Linked DNA regions of Oryctolagus cuniculus. The protein of the gene in region 1 purifies or fractionates together with the protein of each later gene. This does not show direct contact. Links are inferred from orthologs where the notes say so. Each region holds a gene or a part of one and is shown on either strand. Other genes may lie near its edges.

The links. The genes of interacting proteins can lie anywhere in the genome.
Region 2: the proteins of TAF15 (region 1) and HNRNPU purify together in Homo sapiens (affinity purification with mass spectrometry; 3 studies listed by BioGRID, with this or other methods). This does not show direct contact. The link is inferred for Oryctolagus cuniculus from reciprocal best matches to the Homo sapiens genes TAF15 and HNRNPU.

What each region holds. Positions count from the first base shown.
Region 1 is NC_091448.1:38,795,406-38,805,258, forward strand, and holds the start of TAF15 (TATA-binding protein-associated factor 2N), read right to left. Parts: upstream 6,252-9,853; 5' UTR 6,117-6,251; coding exon 6,110-6,116; intron 1-6,109. UniProt on the Homo sapiens protein: RNA and ssDNA-binding protein that may play specific roles during transcription initiation at distinct promoters. Binds to ssRNA containing the consensus sequence 5'-AGGUAA-3'. Can enter the preinitiation complex together with the RNA polymerase II (Pol II).
Region 2 is NC_091444.1:64,893,656-64,903,646, forward strand, and holds the start of HNRNPU (heterogeneous nuclear ribonucleoprotein U), read right to left. Parts: upstream 4,881-9,991; 5' UTR 4,617-4,880; coding exon 3,926-4,616; intron 3,076-3,925; coding exon 2,964-3,075; intron 2,877-2,963; coding exon 2,803-2,876; intron 1,012-2,802; coding exon 872-1,011; intron 436-871; coding exon 336-435; intron 1-335. UniProt on the Homo sapiens protein: DNA- and RNA-binding protein involved in several cellular processes such as nuclear chromatin organization, telomere-length regulation, transcription, mRNA alternative splicing and stability, Xist-mediated transcriptional silencing and mitotic cell progression.

The DNA.
Region 1 (9,853 bases):
AAAAGATTATGAGGGAAAAGTTTAAGTGCCCAACAAAAATAATTATTTTCTAAATTTTGATTGCGTTCTCTAACGCTCATTAGTTGTATCATTTCTGTTAATCCTTGGTCTAAATAATGTTTGGTCACAGGGCCAGCGCTGTGGCGCAGTGGGTTAGAGCCCTGGCCTGCAATGCCAGCATCCCATATGGGCGCCGGTTCTAGTCCCAGCTGCTCCTCTTCCAATCCAGCTCTCTGCTATGGTCTGGGAAAGCAGTAGAAGATGGCCCAAGACCTTGGGCCCCTGCACCCACGTGGAAGACCAGGAGGAAGCTCCCAGCTCCTGGCTTCGGATCGGCACAGCTCCGGCCATTGCAACCATCTGGGGAGTGAACCAGCAGATGGAAGACCTCTCTCTCTCTGTCTCTACCTCTCTCTGTAACTCTTTCAAATAAATCTTTTAAAAAAAAAGTTTGGTCACATCCTTACTAGTTATTAATTCTATTAATTACAGAGGTATGATTCTAAAAATTTCCCATTTGACAATACACTTGTAAATTTCTTACAACTGTCCTTTTTGTTTTCTGTATTTTGAGGCACATCTGTATTTGTATTTGTTAGGCACATCAAAGTACAAACATAGCTTTGTGGTTTCCCTTAATATTACATAAAATTAACATTAAAAATGTTCAAGTTTTATTTTGACTGGTATTATAACTATAGGATCATCCGTAGGTTGCTGTTTGCCTAGGTAATTTTTCCATCTTCCAACATTTCTTGTTCATGCAATTTATGTATTATCACTTTTTTTTTTTTTTTTTTTTTGACAGGCAGAGTGGACAGTGAGAGAGAGAGAGAGAGAGACAGAGAGACAGAGAGAAAGGTCTTCCTTTGCCATTGGTTCACCCTCCAATGGCCGCCGCGGCCGGCACGCTGCAGCCGGCGCACCACACTGATCCAAAGGCAGGAGCCAGGTGTTTATCCTGGTTTCCCATGGGGTGCAGGGCCCAAGTACTTGGGCCATCCTCCACTGCACACCCTGGCCACAGCAGAGAGCTGGCCTGGAAGAGGGGCAACCGGGACAGAATCTGGCGCCCCGACCGGGACTAGAACCCGGTGTGCCGGTGCCGCAAGGCGGAGGATTAGCCTATTGAGCCGCGGCGCCGGCCAGTATTATCACTTTTGAGCAGCATATATCTAGGTCATTTTTCCCCCAAAGTGTAAATTTTGTCTTTTTAAATCTGGTATTTTACAATTCTGTTGAGTTTTTATTTATTCCTACTGTTATACTGAAACTCTCTACCATGATTTTCCTTTTAACTCCTTTCCTGCTTTCTATTATAGAGTTCCGCTTTTCTTCTGCTTTAGAATTTATATTCAGCTTCTTTTACTCAGTTATCATACATAATTTTTCTGAATATATTCAGTTTTTAACATGTATTCCTGAGAAAGTTAAAAATTATATTCAGATGCCAGCATTGTGGCACAGCAAGCTAATCCTACATCTGGATGCTCCATTTTTGATCTAGCTCCCTGCTAATGTGCCTGGGAAAGCCACCCAAGTGCTTGGGCCCCTGCCACCAGTGTGGGAGATAGGGATGCAGTTCCAAGCTCCTGGCTTAGCTTCGACCAGCCTTGGACATTTTAGTCCGTTTGGAGAGTGAACCAGCAGATGGGAAGATTTCTCTGTCCCTGTCACTCTCCTCTTCAAATAAAAAAATAAAATTTCTTTAAAAAAATTTTTTTAAATTATCATCAGGGCTGGCACTATGGCATAGCAAGTAAAGCCACTGCCTGCAGTGCTGGCATCCCATATGGGTGCTGGTTTGAGACCCGGCTGCTCCACTTCTGATCCAGCTCTCTGCTATAGCCTGGGAAAGCAGTAGAAGATGGCCCAAGTCCTTGGGCCCCTGTACCCACGTGGGAGCCCTGGAAGAAGCTCCTGGCTCCTGGCTCCTGGTTTTAGATAGGCTCAGCTCTAGCCATTTTGGGGAGTGAACTGGCGGATGTAAGACTCTCTCTGCCTCTGCCTCTTTGTAACTTTGCCTTTCAAATAAATAAATATTTAAAAAACAATTTTAAGCATTATCTTCAACACCCACTGAAATTTAAAGACTTTAATACTCCAACGCCAATCATAGTTTTTACCCATAATTTTGCTTCACTTCTTTCTGAATCTCTAATCATTATAAAATTCAATGTCTTACAGTCAGTACTGGCTTATTTACAGTGTTTCCTCACTCAACGTTGTTTTTGAACCCCATTTTCTGGATTTAATTTTATTTATTCTTTCTGCAAAGGCCTGAAAGATACCTAGCCCCGTTACAACCTGCATGCAAAATTTAAGGCTAACCACTTTTTCCTCAAACTGAGGACCATTTAATTACTTCCAACTTTTAAGAAGCCTGCTACCAATCTTAAACTGTTCCGTAATTTGTTAGGTTACTGGTATTCCATAATCTGCAGTTTCACAAAAACTTATCTAGATATGAATTTATTTTTGTCTCATGTTTGCACCTAGTGCTTCTTGATTCAAAATGTTCATCTATTTTGGAGAATTAACTATTGATTCTTCCCCAACTTTCTCCTTCTCAATCTACTATTAGATACATGACAGGACTTCTCATTCTATTTCCCATGTTTCCCAAGCTTTTACTTTCACCTCTTTATCCTTCTAAATTGGATTTTAAAGGACAGATCACATAACCTACATCTAGAAATCTATAATCATTTCTTCTGCTAGATCTGCTGTTCAACTTATCCACCTTTTCCAATTCTAGAAGTTATACTTGGTTCTAAAATTTGAGGCCTTTTTTGGTAACATCTTGGTCTTAGGCTTGTTTCCTCCTTTCAGGTTTTTCATAATTTGAAACATAGAACTTATGTGCAATCCTGTTTATCATTAACTTTGGTGAACTGTTTCCTAAAGTTTTGTGATTTCATTTACTGTGAATGCTTTTCTTTTTTTTTTTTTTTTTCTGAGAGTCCTTGTAATCTAAGCTGTAAAATTTCCTCCATAAAAGGTTTTTACCAAGAACCCCAAAGTTATCATCAGCCCAGAAACAATTTTTATGTCAACCTGTCTTAAGGCTTCTTGGAGGCTAAATACCCAAATTGTGTGAAGCACCTGTCCAAGTTACAAATTCTCAAGAGACTTTTCATTCTGCCTCCAGGCTTCCCTTTTTATCTCTTATTCTGTTAGGAAGGTTTTGTTTTTTTTTTTTTTTTGTCCATTCCTACACTGAGATGATAGTCCTTCAAACTCATAATTCAGAAACCCAGGATTTCGGCTGGCGCCGCAGCTCACTAGGCTAATCCTCCACCTTGCGGAGCCGGCACACCGGGTTCTAGTCCCGGTCGGGGCGCCGGATTCTGTCCCGCTTGCCCCTCTTCCAGGCCAGCTCTCTGCTGTGGCCAGGGAGTGCAGTGGAGGATGGCCCAGGTACTTGGGCCCTGCACCCCATGGGAGACCAGGATAAGTACCTGGCTCCTGCCATCGGATCAGCGCGGTGCGCCGGCTGCAGCGCGCTGGCCGCGGCGGCCATTGGAGGGTGAACCAATGGCAAAGGAAGACCTTTCTCTCTGTCTCTCTCTCACTGTCCACTCTGCCTGTCAAAAAATAAATAAATAAATAAAATTAAAAAAAAAATAAAAAGAAACCCAGGATTTCAGGGTCTCTGTTCCCATGACCTGGCTCAATGGGGCTCAAGATTTCATCTCCTGTCCTTACATATTACCTTGTCAAGAACATCCATGTCTCTGCATGATGAGACCTACACCCTACTCTCTAGGGCAGCTGCAAATTTAACTCCATTCCCTTACCATGCTGGCTTGTACTTCGTTTTTGCCAGTGGGAGCTTGCACTTTTTTTGCTATGTTTTTTATTGGGGGGGGGGGGTAGTCTGTAAATATGAAAATTATCCTGGTCTAACACATCACCAGAATGACAAGTATCTTTATTTTGTAATTTTTAGTATGTGCAACTGGCATTATTTCACTTGTGATTTTAATGAGATAACTCACATTTGTAAGCAGTATCTGAATGCCAGGCTCAGATTTGTAATATTTATAATTTTGATTTATTTATCAACTATTTAAGTGCTTGTATTTTACTGGGTTTGTAAGTCTGCCCTGACAGACATTCAGAGTGGTTAAGTTGATCTGATGGATTAAATTTACAAATGTAACCTGGAATGTTTAAAGGATTTAACTTATTGATGGCATTAGCTATTTAGGGGTAGTTCAATCTTTTAATTTTATTAACATAAACATTCAACAAAAAAACAAGACAAAAGTATTATTTTATACAAAGTCAAAGTAGTACTTTTACAGAAATAGTTCAGAATGTATAAATCGTATTACAAGTAGAACTTAGATTCTAGTTTTAATTGAATGTTAAGAAATAAGCATCTACTAAATAGTACTTTTCACAAGAAAGCCAATCTCAGTACTTCTTTAAAAAACTAAAATTACAAAGCAGCAATTAACTAGCTGATATCTCAGTCACATGAAAATCACTAAAGGAGTAAATCAGCTCTACTATGATACATGGAAAGCCTGAATTTTACAAACTGCAAACTCCTAAAACTACCTAGTACTACAAAAACAAGCCACTGTTTATACTAAGCCTGCTAAAATCAGAACAGGCCAAAAGTTCTTAATAAGCAATGTATACATTGAAACTTGGTCAATTTCTTCATGACGGCAGGATTTTTAATTTTCTTAAACTACTGGTAAATTACACATCCTCCTTGGGAGCCTTACCAGACTTCCTCCCAAATTATGCAGCTGATGAAAGGTGTACCAATGTCTACTTTGGAAGTTATTCGTTGTTTGAGGAAGGATTAAACAAATTGAAATCAAGAGGTAAGTTCAGTGGTTTATCCCCTCAAAAAGATCAATATTCTAGCTTTTTAATATCAACGTTAACCTAGAAGAAACGTATCATTTTCCTGTCCAATTCTTCTTGCTAACTTAGATTCCTCAGACTGTCCCTTTTCTTTGGTCACACCATTCCATCCTTCTACATGACAATTACCGGGGCTTTCCTGTTTATTTCTCAAATACTGACAGGTTGCTCCTTAGAGCGTAATAGGCAGGCTCTACTAGAAGGCATACTGTACCCCAACCATATGGCTTTGGGAAAACGTGGTTTTGAGCCACAAAAAGTGACACCTAACGCTCCTGAGGGTTCCCAGCAAGTGGATCCCTTGGGTCCCTGTGTGATCAGCTAGGTCGGCTAAATCCAGAGGACCTGCACCTTCTTGACTTTTAAATTCTGGTTTAGCAGGATCCACACTGGCTGTCCTGGAGCGACTAAGGCTCCTTTCTCTCCTCCACACAACGGGTGGCCTCTGCCCACTTAACTGCTCGTCGGAGAAGCTGCTCTCCTCGTGGGCTGGGCGTCTGACGGGGCAATGCCACCAACACCTACGGAAGCTTATCACTAAGAGACGGGGCTCACTTCCAGCTCTTTCGGGGGACCAACAACTGGAGCGGGCGGTTAGGATGGCAGAGCGGGGCGAGGAGGAAGCTGACTGACAGGCCAAGACCCCCACTGCACTCGCGGCGGCTACGGCGGAGGGAACGGCGGCGTGTGAGGCAACGTCCTTTCAAAGGGCTCCCAGGGCGTCCAGGCCCCCACCTGAGGAACGGGTGAGTCAGGAAGGCCCAGCTCCACTTCACGGGTGGGGAAACTGAGGCAACGAGGCGGCGAGATGACTGGCCCGAGGCCTCGCTGAAAGATCTGAGGCGGAGCGGACAACCAGAAGCACCGATTCTCTCAGTCTGATGCTCTCCTCGCGGCTCCCCCCGCCCCCTAGGATGGCGTAGACCGCCTCCGCCCCCCGACTCACACACACCCTCCCCCGGGAGCGCAAGTCTCCTCAGGTTCCAAGGACACGGCCAAAAGGCAGGGGACCCGAAGCGCTCCCGCCGTGATTTGCAGCCAGAGAGCGTTGGGAGCGTGCGTGCCTCCAGCCCAACATGGCGGCGGCGCGTCCGCCCCCCCACCCCAAGCCTCCCTCAGGGCCGAAGGTTTTCCCTCGGGGCCCTCCGGTGGGCGGGAAGGCTGCCCAACCCCGCCAGGCCCCTTCTCGCCGCTGCCGCTGCTCGCTGACGGAGTCACCTACCCGACATGACTAACGGCCGCGGCGCGGAGCCCCCACAGCCCGCCGAGAACAAGGAATACCACAGCCAGGCGGCGCGGCGGCCGGAGCTGTTCTGAGGGCGGCGCGGCGGGCTGAGGCCGACTGCGGGGCCTCGGCAGCCAATCAGCGGGCAGTGGGCCGTACCACCCACCAAAGAAGGAGGGGTGGTTGTGCACCAGAATGGGCCTCCGAGCCCTGAGGACCTCTCTGGTCTCCCCTCCGCGGGCGGTACCATTATTGAGAGGGAACTGAGAAGAGAAAGTACCAATGCCACCTTGAGTACGGGGGAGGAGGCTGGACGTACTAGAACCGTCCTACTCGCAGTCCTATTCCTCACCTTGCTGGTTCAGATAGAATTCGAGGTTATGAAGCGAAACAGGGGGGACCTTATAAACTCAGACTGTTTGGTTAGAAAAGGCCTTTCTTCCTCTAAGATTTCGAATGGTTTGCCCTAGTTCTCTCCGTTCTCCGACCGAGAGCTCGGGCCACCTGGGGGCGTTCGGAGTGGACGAGCTGGATCCCGGGGACAGAAAGTCGTGACGAGCCGCTGGTACCTACCAGGTCACCTCACGGCTTGTTATGACTACCTTGCCGAATGGAAAACAAGAAGGTAGCAGAAACAGAGACGTGCGTGGAAACGAAATCACACGCAAACCTGACCCTGAGAACGTGGTGGGGCGGGGGATCGCGCTCAGATTTTCGGTACCATCGTACCGGCTAACACGTAATTGTCAGGCAGCCACCTTGCATCATCTCATTTAATTCTCACAACGGACTGATGAAACATCTTCCCGACGTTGCCGAGAAGGCAGAACTCATTTACCCCGGGTCTTGGAGCTTGCCAAGGGTGGCGATGGAATTTGAAACCTGGTAATCCTACACCGCTGTGTGTAGGTTCCACCATAACGCAGTACGGCCTAGAGGGGCCTTAGCTCTATTATAGAGAAGGCAAAGGGAAAGCTCAGCCAGCCAGCAGGGACATTTGCCCGGAAGGTGTGATATCTGAGCCTATCCCTAGGTGATGAGCAGAAGTTGACTGAGTGAAGGAATGAGCAAAAAATATTGCGGGCGTTTGGGGACAGAACCAGTGGCTACAGGATCCGCCATACCACCCATCCCTTTCACAGCTCTTCAAATAAATAAACCAGTTTTCAAAAAAATTTTTATTTATTCGAAAGACAGTTACAGGCCGGCGCCGAGGCTCACTTGGCTAATCCTCCGCCTGCGGCGCTGGCACCCAGGTTCTAATCCCGGTTGGGGCACTGGGTTCTAGTCCCAGTTGCTCCTCTTCCAGTCCAGCTCTCTGCTGTGGCCCGGGATGGCCAAGGTGCTTGGGTCCCTGCACCCGCAGGGGAGACCGGGAGGAAGCACCCAGCTCCTGGCTTCGGATCGGCGCAGCGCCGGCCATGGCAACCATTAGGGGAGTAAACCAACGGAAGGAAGACCTTCTCTCTGTCTCTCTCTCACTGTCTATAACTTTACCTGTCAAATAAAAAATTTTAAAAAAAATTAAAAAAAAGAAGAGTTACAGAGAGGGAGAGAGAAAGAGAGAGGTCTTCCATCAGCTGGTTTCCTCCCCAGATGGCTTCAACAGAGCTAGGCAGAAACAGAAACGAAGGCAGGAGCCAGTAGCTTCTGAGTCTCCCACACTTGGGCTATCTTCCACTCCTTTCCCAGGCACCAGATCAGCTAGGACAGAGACACAAATGGACACCCATATAGGATGCCAGCATTGCAGATGGTGGCTTAACCTTCTACCTGCTGCCACAACACTGGTCCACTTTGTTTTATGATTTTTGTTTTTTTAAAGATTGGTTTATTTTGGGCCAGCGTTGTTGCGTAGTTGGTAAAACTACTGCCTGCGACACCAGCATCCCATATGGGCGCATTGTCCTGTCCCAGCTGCTCCACTTCCAATCCATCTCCCTGCTTATGTGCCTGGAAAAGCAGCAGAAGAGGTGCTTGGGCCTCTGCCACCCTTGTGAGAGACCCAGATGTAGTCCCAGGCTCCTGGCTCCGGCTTGGCCCACCCCTGGCTGTTGCGGCCATTTGGGGAGGAAATCAGCAGATGGAAGATTATTTCCTGTCTCTCCCTCTCTCTGTACCTCTGCCTTTCAGATAAGTAAATCTTAAAAAAAAAAAAAAAAATGGGCAAAAGGACTTTCCAAACTGCTCATAGAACAAGTAAATCAATGTCTAGAGTAAACGCTCAAAGGAAGGATGGTAGGAGATAATGCCAGAAAAGCAGGAGCAAAATGGCTAGAGTCTTATGAAGTATGTTGGAATGTGGGCCTTATCATGAGGACAGAGTCACCAGAGGATTTTTTTTTAAGTATTTATTTATTTATTTGAAAGTCAGAGTTACACACAGAGAAAAGGAAAGGCAGAAAGAGAGAGAGAAAAGGTCTTCCATCCGCTGGTTCACTCCCCAATTGGCTGCAATGGCCGGAGCTGTGCTGATCAGGAGCAAGGAGCTTCCTCCAGGTCTTCCCACATGGGTACAGGGGCCTAAGGACCCGGGCCATCCTCTGCTGCTTTCCCAGGCCATAGCAGAGAGCTGGATCAAAACTGGAGCAGCTGGGACTCACACCAGCGCCTATGTGGGATGCTGGCACTGCGGGTGGCAGCTTCACCTGCTATGCCACAGCGCCAGCCCCACCAGAGGTTTCTAAAGAAGAGTTTAGGGGCTGGCATTGTGGCATAGCAGATTGGCTTGGGATGTCTACATCCCATATCCAAGTGCCAATCGGAGTCCTTTCCAATCCAGCTTCCTATTAATGTGCTTGGGAAGCAGCAGATGGTGGCTCAACTGCTTGAGTTCCTGTCATGCACATGGGAGACCTGGATGGCTCATGGCTCCTGGCTTTAGCCTGGCGCAGCCTGAGCTGTTGGGGAGTGAACCAGCAGATGAAAAACTTCTCTTCCCCACCTCCACCCCTATCACTCTGCCTTTCAAATAAATAAATATTTTTTTAAAGGAGGAGTAAGGTCAGATTTGTACTTTCCAGTTGCAGAATGAAGAACACTTAGAAACGAGGGATGCCTGAAAGCAGGGAGACCAGTGAGGTGGCCAGTGCAAAACGTTCCACTGACAGATAATAGTGCCCTGGACTTAGGTAGTAGCTGTGGAAGTGGAGGTGAATGAAAAGGTCCCAGATACCTAAGGAGTAGACTGGACAAGAGCCCAGAGAAAGGAGCCTGGTGAATTCTGGGTTCCTGACTTATGCAAGTGGCCAGAGGGTGGTGTCATTCACTGAGATAGGAAACATGGAGGAGGAGACTGGATAGAAGTGAAGGATAAGGTCAGGATTCATGCCTTCAGGTCAGAAGAAAAGGCATGAAGTCATCTTTCCTCACTATATGAGCCCTAATTGCCTCAATTCTAGATGGAGAGAGTCATAGAACCCTCTAGACAGGTCCAAACAAGCAAGGCTAAAGGAATAAAATTCTTCCATAACTAAAAACCATTTAACCATTTAGCATATATTTATTGAGGAAGGCAGCCTGGAGGAGACATTAGGCATGGCAGCGGCAGGACAAGAACTGGGTTGTAGAGGGAGGAAAGGGATCTTCCAGGCTGTTCTCTACCCCTCCCCCCAATTTATTTAGTTTGAAAAGAAAGCAGAGAGGGAGAGAAAGAGAGCAAGAAATCTTCCATCTGCTGGCTCACTCCCTAAATGGCCACAATAGCCAGGACAAAGCCAGGAGCTTGGAACTCCATCCTGG
Region 2 (9,991 bases), on another chromosome or scaffold:
GAGACCCAGAAGAAGCTCCTTGTTTCTGGCACTGGCATGGCCCAGCCCCAGTCATGGCGGCCATTTAGGGAGTGAGCCAGCGGATGGAAGATCTCTTCTCCCCCTCTAACTCTACCTTTCCAAAAAATAAATCAGTCTTTAGAAAAAAAAGTATGCTGCTCAAGCCATTAGTCATAACTCAAACAACCATAAAGGAACAAAAGCAAATTTAGACTCTGCCTACTGTTACTATTCTCTAAAACAGAATGAAAATAACAAGAAAAGGTTTTGAATGCCTGCAGATAGTTAATGAAATCAGACATTCATGAACTTGCAGTACTCAATGTAAACTTTACCTAGCAACATTCCACTTGTGGTTAGCGACCAGCCAATCCGAACTTCATGTATGTCTATATCTTTTGTATATAAATGCCTTACAGGTATCTTCTCTGTAACCTGAAAGTTAAGTCATTATATCATTAACTGTAAACCAAGGTAGGTAGGTTATTTATGTGCCTGGTTTATCTCACTTGGGCTATGGGTACCTAAAATTCTTCTCTAGCTATTTATACAAAGACAGGACACCCAACTCTACCCCACTCCCAGTATTTTCCAATTGATGTAAGGGCTTATAACTTAAAATTAAATACTTGGTTGATTTAGATTTTTAGAACAATATTTTTAAATTACATTCTCAATTGATGTTTTTCTCATAAAACCAACACTCTAACCAAAAGAAATTTTAACTCTTTGGTGGCCCTTTTCAAGGGCCTCATATAATGGAGTGCCCTAAATAATGTATGGGCTGGCTCTATAGGGCAAATTCTGATAAATAAACTTGCTTCACTATTACAAAATGAAGGTTCCAGAAACCTCACAACATTGCATTTACCTTCATCTCAAAACAGACTTTGCCTTTTGACACACCATAAGATGCCCTTCCTCCAGCCCAAAGAAAGGCAAAGCTCTCCATAGTAAGCGAAGAAGCACTGAGGCGATCTCTTGATATTTTAAAATGTAGATCACAATTATCTGCAATTATATTAAATACCATATTATTCTTTTGACATCCAATGGAAATCTATTTGCTATGTAGACAAAACTTGGATGTTAAATTTTTTTCATGTACTTCTTAATGCTGCAGAAAACAGTTTTTAACACCATGCTGTTTTCCCAATTTTCCGTGTAAGCCCCACTCCCACCATTCTTATCAAATTAAGTACTAAAGAGTAAACTGCCTATAAACTAAGGCTTAATGTCTTTAAGAATATAAAACAAGACATGTGACATGGATACATACCTGCTCTGCTCTTTACCTTGATTTAGAGGCACGCAGTAGAGGATAGCAGGAAATCAAAGTGAAGCATGCCAGAACCAGGTAGAATTTACCAGTGCCACAATAAAACTGAAGGGAGGCCACGGCCAAATATTTGAACATAGGAGTATGAGCTGTTGATCCCGTACTTTAACACTAGGCTCCTAAGTCCTAAATTATTTTCTAAATCTTAGGAATAAGGCAAGGCAGCCTCAACTTGGAATATACAAATCTGGTCTTCTAACACTGTCAATATTACAGCATTTTGGTCTTGTGTATTTGTGTATTAGCAACAATTAAGGATTAAGCTCTTAATCAGGTCATCCAAATCCAAAGCATCTTTAATCTAGCTACCTCTGGGTCACGTGAGGGACAGCTAAAGTCAAGGTAGAAAGCTGGCTCTTTTCCTTTTTACAGGACAGGAAACCTACAGTTCGGAACTTTTAAATTAGCTTTGCTCCTGAAATTCCTGATCACTGATAGAACTATGATTTCAAGAAGCTGTTGTTGCTCCTGTAATCAGTGCTTCAGCATCTTGGTAACTGCTAGTAACTTGAAGCAACTGATTTTGACATCAAAATTTCAAGCCACCTTTTCCATATGCATTTTTTTCCCAAAGACTCAACTCTTAACTACCTGTACAGGGTATTCAAGTAAGAAATCAGAGGTATCACCATTTATCACCTGAATCAACAATCTGTACAAGGAAGCATCCGAATCTAACTTCCGCCTTACCAGAGCAACTTGACATTTTAACTTTTCAAGTACGATTTCTACTCTTGGTTCTATTTCACACTGGAAAGACTGGTGCATCCTATTCTGATCAAACGCTAACCCAACGTAATTTAAGTAAAATCTGACAGCCACGGCCCATTTAAAGGTTTGCAATAATTCCGCATACTCGATTGCAACCCAACTGGGTAACGTAGTATTTACAGTGCTGCCATTGATACCATTCGCTGCTGAAGAAAGCTAGTGGCCCAGTGATGGCCCACTGCTGCTGCCCCAGGTCTTTGGAAGAAATCAACTTATGTTAAAGCAGCAGCTACTGAACTGGAATTGAGAACAAAAGAGCAGTTATTGAAATAGTATTACAGTCTTTTAGAATAGGGAATATACTTGAGTGCTAATGGGAAAAGTCATCAGTTAAGTATTTAACCAGCCCAAGTAGCTGACTTAACAATCCCAAAATAAAAGGAAATTACTGTAGGACACGTTAACAGTTTCCATTAGCTAACTAGTCCAAAATTGGCATCAATTTCACATTCAAGAATAAGAAGCTTTAAATTACAATTAAAATTGCCAAAGCCTGTAAAATCAATTCAACACAACTGATGGCATATTAATATTAAACTACTGCACTCTGGGTATCAATCATTATCTTTGCTTTTTAGAAAACTGTACATGTTTTCTGCACTTAGGTTAAACGTACTGCAATCTAACATTGTCAAAAAAACCCAAGGCATTTGAGGACTGCGTGGGGGAGCGGGTGAAACAGCTTCACTTACAAGTATCAAGACAAACCACTGTGTCATCGAAGTGCTCATCTTCTTCTTCAACGGGGGGCTGAGGAGATTTGGCTCTGAAAGACAGAATGGGCTCCTGATACGTCTCTGCCCACCCACGGAGAACGGGCAACAACAACGCACAATCCGTTAGCATCCTCTACCTGCTGTACTTGTTCTCTTCAATGTACTCAAAATATCCACGGCCATGATCTTCTCGAGGTCTTTTTACACCTCGCTTTTTATCTCCGCCTTTCTGCTCTGTTTTGCCGTCTCCTATAACACACGACACTCTCATAAGTGCTCAAGCCACCCAACACCCCCGCCAAAAGAAAAAAAAGCCGCTTTTATTTCAAGTTGCCTAAAAGCATCGAATTAATGAGTTTTGGGTGAATACTGAACCGCCAGGTCGAATGTGAATTCAAACTATCAGCTTGGAATTGGATTGGAGTTAGTGACGCAGCCTAAAGACGTTACTAATTCGGCCCGTCTACCGGAGGCTTCAAGAAAGCTTAAGCGCAACTGCGCGCCGGAGGCCCCGAGCCCACGTGGATCCCGACGAGCGGTCAGGAGGGGGAGGGGCGCGGGGGCGGCGGCCCCTCCCCCACCCGGGCCCGCGCAGCCCGCGGCCGCATTGTACGGATCTTCCGCCCCGCTCGGCGCGCCGGCTCCTCCCGCCGGAAGTGACGTCACGCCGAGCCCCTGCGCTCCTTGCACAATACCGCGGCGAGGAGCCGCCAAAGCGCGCCCGCCCCGGGACCTCGGGCCTCTCCCCTCCCCCCGCCCTGAGCCATGTGCCCGCACCGCGCGCACACACAGCGCGGCGGCGCCACCGCGGGCCGACGGGGCTCCTCCCCCCCTCCCGCGGCAGCTGCAGCTCCCCCGCCCCCACCCCCGCCCCGGCTCCCGAGCCACATAATGGAGGCGCTGCCACCGCCGTCACACACGCACACGCACACACACACCCCGAGCCCCAGGCCTCTCGGCTAATCTGGGATTCCCCGCACCCCTCCCTCCCCCCACCGCCGCCCACCCAGCCACCAGCGGGGGGCTCCGGCAGGCCGGGGGCCCGGTCCCCACCCCACGCGGGCCTCCCGCCGCGCGCAACGTACAACGCAGCACTCACCCGCCGCCGGAGCCCCGGGGCGACCGCCTCCTCCGCCGCCTTCCGCCTTCTTCTTACCTCCCGCCTGCTGCTGGCCCTGCCTCGCCCCGGGCGGCGCCACCGTCACCGCGAACAGCGAGGTGGGGCCGCTGCTCTTCCCCGCGGCCTCCTTGGCCGCCCCGCGCTGCTGCGGAGGCTGTTGCTGCGGCGCCGCCGGCGGTTGAGGCTGCTGCTCCCCGTGCCCGTTCTCGTCGCCCGCGCCCTCCTCCTCGTCGCCGAGCTCGTCCTCCCCTTCCTGGAAGCCCTGATCATCGCCGTTCTCGTCTTCCGAGGCGGCCTCCTCCTCCTCCATCGGGCCCGACTCGGCCGCCCCCGCGGCCCCGTTCTCCTCTCCTAGCTCCATCTGGTCGCCATCCAGGGCGGCGATCCCTTCCTCCTCCTCTTCCTCCTCCTCCTCGTCGTCGTCGCCGCCGGCCGCGGCCTCCTGCTCGAGGCCTGCTCCCGAGCGCCCGGCGGAATCCCCGCCCAGGTCTAGGCTGCCGTTCCCGGGCTCCATGGCGGGGCGGCCCCCGGCCTCCTCGTCGTCCAGCGCAGCCTGGAGTCGCTCCATGAGCTCGGCCTTGAGGCCCTTGTCGGAGAGGCGCCGCTTCTTGAGCTCCTCTTTCAGCTCAGACACCTTCAGCTTTTTTACATTAACAGGCGAGGAACTCATGATGAGGGCCCCGATTCGCGGCAGGGAGCTTGGCTCGGACTGGGCTCCGCTCACTCGGCCACTGGTAGCGGCTGCTGCGGCTGCTCCTCGGTCCGGGCGGCGGCTGCGGCTGGAGGTGGGTTCGTGCTGCAGAGAGGACCCGCCTGGTGTCGAACGGCGCCAATTCCTTTCACCGAGTTCGCGAGGGAGACGCGGAGACTCGCCTGGCGCGAGCGAGCACGCAACGTCCTCTCGCAGGGGCGGCGCCGCGCACGTAATATAGCCGCCCCGCCCCCCGCGCTGACGGGCGCGCCGCGCAGCAGGAAGGCGGGAGCGCGCTCGCGCTCGGCCCCGCCCAGCACCGTCCCTGCCTCCCCGCCCCCACGCCGAGGCCCGGGTCGGGAGCGCGGCACAGGCCGCGCAGTGCGCTTCCTATTGGGTGCCGAGCAAATGGAGGAGAAGGAAACCGCCTTTCGGTTTAACCGGCCCGCTGCAAAGTCCACTGGGTTTCTGCCGAGGGAGCTCGTTCTGCTCTTGGCCTCCCAGCCTGGGCGGCTGCTCGGCTTGAAATGCTAGCAGAGCTCAGCTTGGCGTTTTCAGCTCGAACCCCTCCACCTTTTCTTCCATCTTAGTATTGCCGTCCTGGGTGCCCCTCCTGCTATACCGTTTTAAAACGCCTCGGGATTTTATTTCCGCTCTGGCTTGTCTAACCCAGCCTGGCAGTCAGCACACGGAGAGTTGGTTCGTCCCTTCTTCCCCCCCTCTCCCCCCCCACCTCCGGCCTCGTATCTCCTTTCATTTTTCTAAGCCGGCCTGGCGAATGGCCTTTTAAATTCGGGAAGCCTTTCTTTTGTGTCTTCGGCAGCCCCCGGTGCGGGGCCTGGGAAAGCGGCTTCTCCCCTCCTCCGGTCTGCATCCGCAAAGCGCGCTCTTCGCGGCAGCCACACGCATGGCGTCAGTGGCCTTGCAGAGGCCTCTGTGGGGCCTGATGTTTGTCATTCAGGCCCGGGCGTGCGGTGAGGAGGGCGAAGCGCAGCTAGGACCTGCCACCCGTGGATTTTCTCCCTGTCCCCGCGGGGACCCAATGGTGCCCAAACCAAAGGCTCCTGAGATGGAACAGGGCGACAGTCTGGCAGACGGGCCATGAGAGACCTCGCTCTCAAAAAGAAATCCGTGATTGGATCGTGGTTGAAGTTTGAGAGTGGCAATCCGGGGTAGCATCCTAATCCCCCAGCGTCCCCACAGTGCCAGGCCAGCGATCCCCGTGGGAATGAGGAAAGAGACCTGCTGCACAAAAAGACTGCTGTGCTATTGATTTGAAATGTGGAAGTACAGAAATGCAAATCTTGTCCCGTAGGCTGAGGTGATGTAACTGATCCACAAATGTTCGTTTTTAAAAGCTGCTTTTCAACAGTTTTTAAGAAATGTGTCTTACCCTGTATTCAGGCATAAGGTGAAATACTGACATCCGTGAGATTATTTGAGTTGAGATTAATAGTGTGCAGTACTGGTAATCCTCAAATTAACAGAGGGGACTAGGACAGCCCGGAAGTAGAAGCGTCCAAATAGTGTCAGAAATTCACTTGGCCTTTGGCTATGTTGCTGAAGCTTGCCAACAAGCCACAGACGAATTTGAACTCTTCCTTGCTCTCATTCAGAATTGGGAAGAGAGCTGCAGGGGGCTTCGATGTTCTCCAACTGGGTAATTAATGAATCAGAGTTAAGTGCAATTATGTCGATGGTCCTCTAATGTGTATGTGTCCTCAGATTTAATTTATGTTTTTAAATTTTAGTCAGAAGGAAACAATTTCCATTTAACACAGAAAAAACTATGAAAACCAAGCTTATATAAGCATAATAGAGTTTTACATTGTTCTTAGATGATTATTAAACCATTTATATTAATAAATGAATTACTACTTCTGGTACACATGAGAAGTTTCCATGACTTCATCTCCCAGAGCTTTGCAGAGGGTTGAGAGTTGGATGGGTCAGATCACCCCCAGCCTGCTCGTTTTAGAGCTGTGGCATAGCTAAGTCACCTTCTGCAACAGTGGCATCCCACTGGGGTTCTGATTCAAGTCCCACTGTTCCCCTTCTGATCCAGCTCCTTGTTACCCGCCTGGGAAAGCAGAAAGATGGCCCAAGTACTTGTGCCTCTGCACCCACATGGAAGACCCAGATGGGGCTCCTGACTCTTGAATTTGGCCTGGCCCAGCCCTGGTTGTTGCAGCCACTTAGGGGACTGAACCAGCAGATGAAGATCTCTCTCCCTCTCTTTCTCTCTTTCGAATAAATAAATCAATCCTTTAAAAAAAGGAAATGAGACCCTCACTCTCATCCCAGTGCTCCTTTAGACAAAATTTGAAAGAAAAACGGTTGCTCTAAATGCCCAGAAAACCATCATCTCACCATCTGTCCTTTTTACAAACAGCGGAAGTCTCTCGGTCCATATTTCATCACTTGGTTGGGGCAGACGTGGCACAGCAGTTAAGATGCCACTTGGGATGACTGCGCCCCATATCAGAGGAGCTGGGTTCAGGTCCCAGCGCTGGCTTCCATTCCATTTTCCTGCTCATTTACACCCTGGCCCGTATCAGGTGGGAGCTCAAGTAACTGGATCCCTGCCACCCGCATGGGAGACCTGGGTTGAGATTCTAGCTCCTGGCTTTGGCCTGGCTCAGCCAGGAATGTTGTGAGCATTCAGGGAGTGAACCAGCAATGGGAATCGGTCTGTCTCTTTTTCTGTCAGTCTCTCTGCCTCTCAAACAAGTGAAATTTTAGGGGCCGGCACTGTGGCATAAAAGGTTAAGCCTCTGCCGCATCCCCTGGGTCCCTGCGCCCACAGGGGTGATCTGGCTGAAGCTCCTGGCTCCTGGCTTCAGCCTGGCCCAGCCCTGGCCATTGTGGCCATTTGGGAAGTAAACTAGTGAATGGAAGACTTCTCTCTTTCTCTCTCTCTTCTTCTCTCTATCTCTGCCTTTCAAATAAATAAATAAAAGGCCGGCGCCGTGGCTCAATAGGCTAATCCTCCACCTTGCGGCGCCGGCACACCGGGTTCTAGTCCCGGTCGGGGTGCCGGATTCTGTCCCGGTTGCCCCTCTTCCAGGCCAGCTCTCTGCTATGGCCAGGGAGTGCAGTGGAGGATGGCCCAGGTGCTTGGGCCCTGCACCCCATGGGAGACCAGGAGAAGCACCTGGCTCCTGGCTTCAGATCAGCACGGTGCGCCGGCTGCAGCGGCCATTGGAGGGTGAACCAACGGCAAAGGAAGACCTTTCTCTCTCTGTCTTTCTCTCTCACTGTCCACTCTGCCTGTCAAAAATAAAAAAAAATAAAAAATAAATAAAAAATAAAAATAATAAATAATAATAAAAATTTTAAAAGAAAGTAGAAGTGGTGATTAATTGTAGTAATTTTTTTTTTTTGCTTCTTATAGTTTTAATGCTTTTGTGATAGTAACAAAAGGGGCCAGTCATCTCCTCTAAATCCCTGAGGGACCTATAAGGAACTTTAAACCCCCCCCCCCTTTTTTTTTTTTTTATTTTTTTTTTTTTTGACAGGCAGAGTGGACAGTGAGAGAGAGAGAGACAGAGAGAAAGGTCTTCCTTTGCCGTTGGTTCACCCTCCAATGGCCGCCGCGGCCGGCGCGCTGCGGCCGGCGCACCGCGCTGATCCGATGGCAGGAGCCAGGAGCCAGGTGCTTTTCCTGGTCTCCCATGGGGTGCAGGGCCCAAGCACCTGGGCCATCCTCCACTGCACTCCCGGGCCACAGCAGAGGGCTGGCCTGGAAGAGGGGCAACTGGGACAGAATCCAGCGCCCCGACCGGGACTAGAACCCGGTGTGCCGGCGCCGCCAGGCGGAGGATTAGCCTAGTGAGCCACGGCGCCGGCCAAACCCCCCCTTTTTTTAAGATTAATTTCATTACAGAGAAAGAGAGATCTTCCTTCTGCTGGTTCACTCCCCAAGTGGCCTCAATGGCCAGGACTGGGCCAGGCCAAAGCCAGGAGCCAAGAGCTTCTTCTGGGTCTCTGGGTGCGGGGGCCCAAGCACTTGGGCCATCCCCAGCTGCTTTCCCAGGCACATTAGCAGGGAGCTGGATGGGATGTGGAGCAGCTGGGACTCGATCGGTGCCCATATGGGATGCCGGCACCTCAATTCCATTCTTTGGAAATCTTAGAGATTACAAGAATGTAGAGTATGAGAGGGGACAAATTAACTCCCAGTAACGTGAAATATTTATCAAATTACCCATGGATAATAAACGTGAGAGGTGATAACAAAGTTACCATGTCCAGAATATGCCCCAAAAGAACAAACATAAATTCTGTACCGTGCCACTCAATGCGCTCGGCTGATACTGTTCCAGTACCTTCTCCAGCACAGGTCCTGGCCTCCCAGGGATACTGCTGTGAGCCATGGGACCATGCCTTTACTCTCCCTGGGAGATTTTCCCAGTTAATGAAGTAGAGATGATAGCCGTTACTGCAGAAAAATATAAGCTGGAAAGAGCCAGGGCTCACTGGGAGGCGTGAGGCACTTTGCAAAGTTTTCAGTTATCTGTGGGGTGGTCAGGGTAGCCATTCACAGTTGGATAGGATGAGTAAGTTCCAGGGATCTACTAGCCAACACAGTGCCTGCAGTTAACACTGAGATGTGACGCACCTAGAAATGTGTTAAGAGTATAGATCTTGGGTTGAATGTTCTTGCCCCTAGAACAAGAAGAAAGACCATGGGAACAGGGGGAGGTAATGGATATGAGCCTCATACTGATTGCCATGCTGGTAACATGGGTGTATATATACGTTCAAAGTCACCCACTGTACACGTTGATCGTGTGTAGCTTCCGGGCACCTGTATGTCTCAATGCAGCTGTGGGGGGAGTGGCAAAAGGAGCAGTCTGAGCAAACACCCAGAAGGGGTGGACGGAACAGCAGATGCCAGGGCTTGGGGGAATGACGCTATGTGAGAGGGTCCTTCAAGAAGTTCATGGACATGGAATTAAAGGATGTCGCACATTTCCATGAACTCTTTGAACACCCTCATACAATTGCCAGCTTCCACGTTGGAGGGTTGGTAAGGACTTCGGCTTGTGCCTCCTGCTGTGTACGGAATGCTGCATCCTAGCAAACTTCATGTTGAAACCTCACCCCTCTGTGGCGGTATTAGCAAGTGGGGCCTTTGGAGACCATTAGGTCACGAGGGTGCAGATTCAGGAATGAGATAAGCACCCTTACCATGGGTAGAACAGACCAGAGGTCACTTCCTCTACCACGAGAGGACACAGCTAGATGGCACCTTCTGTGGGGAATGGGCCCTCGCCAAACACGGAGTCCCCTGGTGCCACCATCTTGAAGTTCCCAGCCTCCGGAATGGTGAGAAATAAATATTGTTTGTG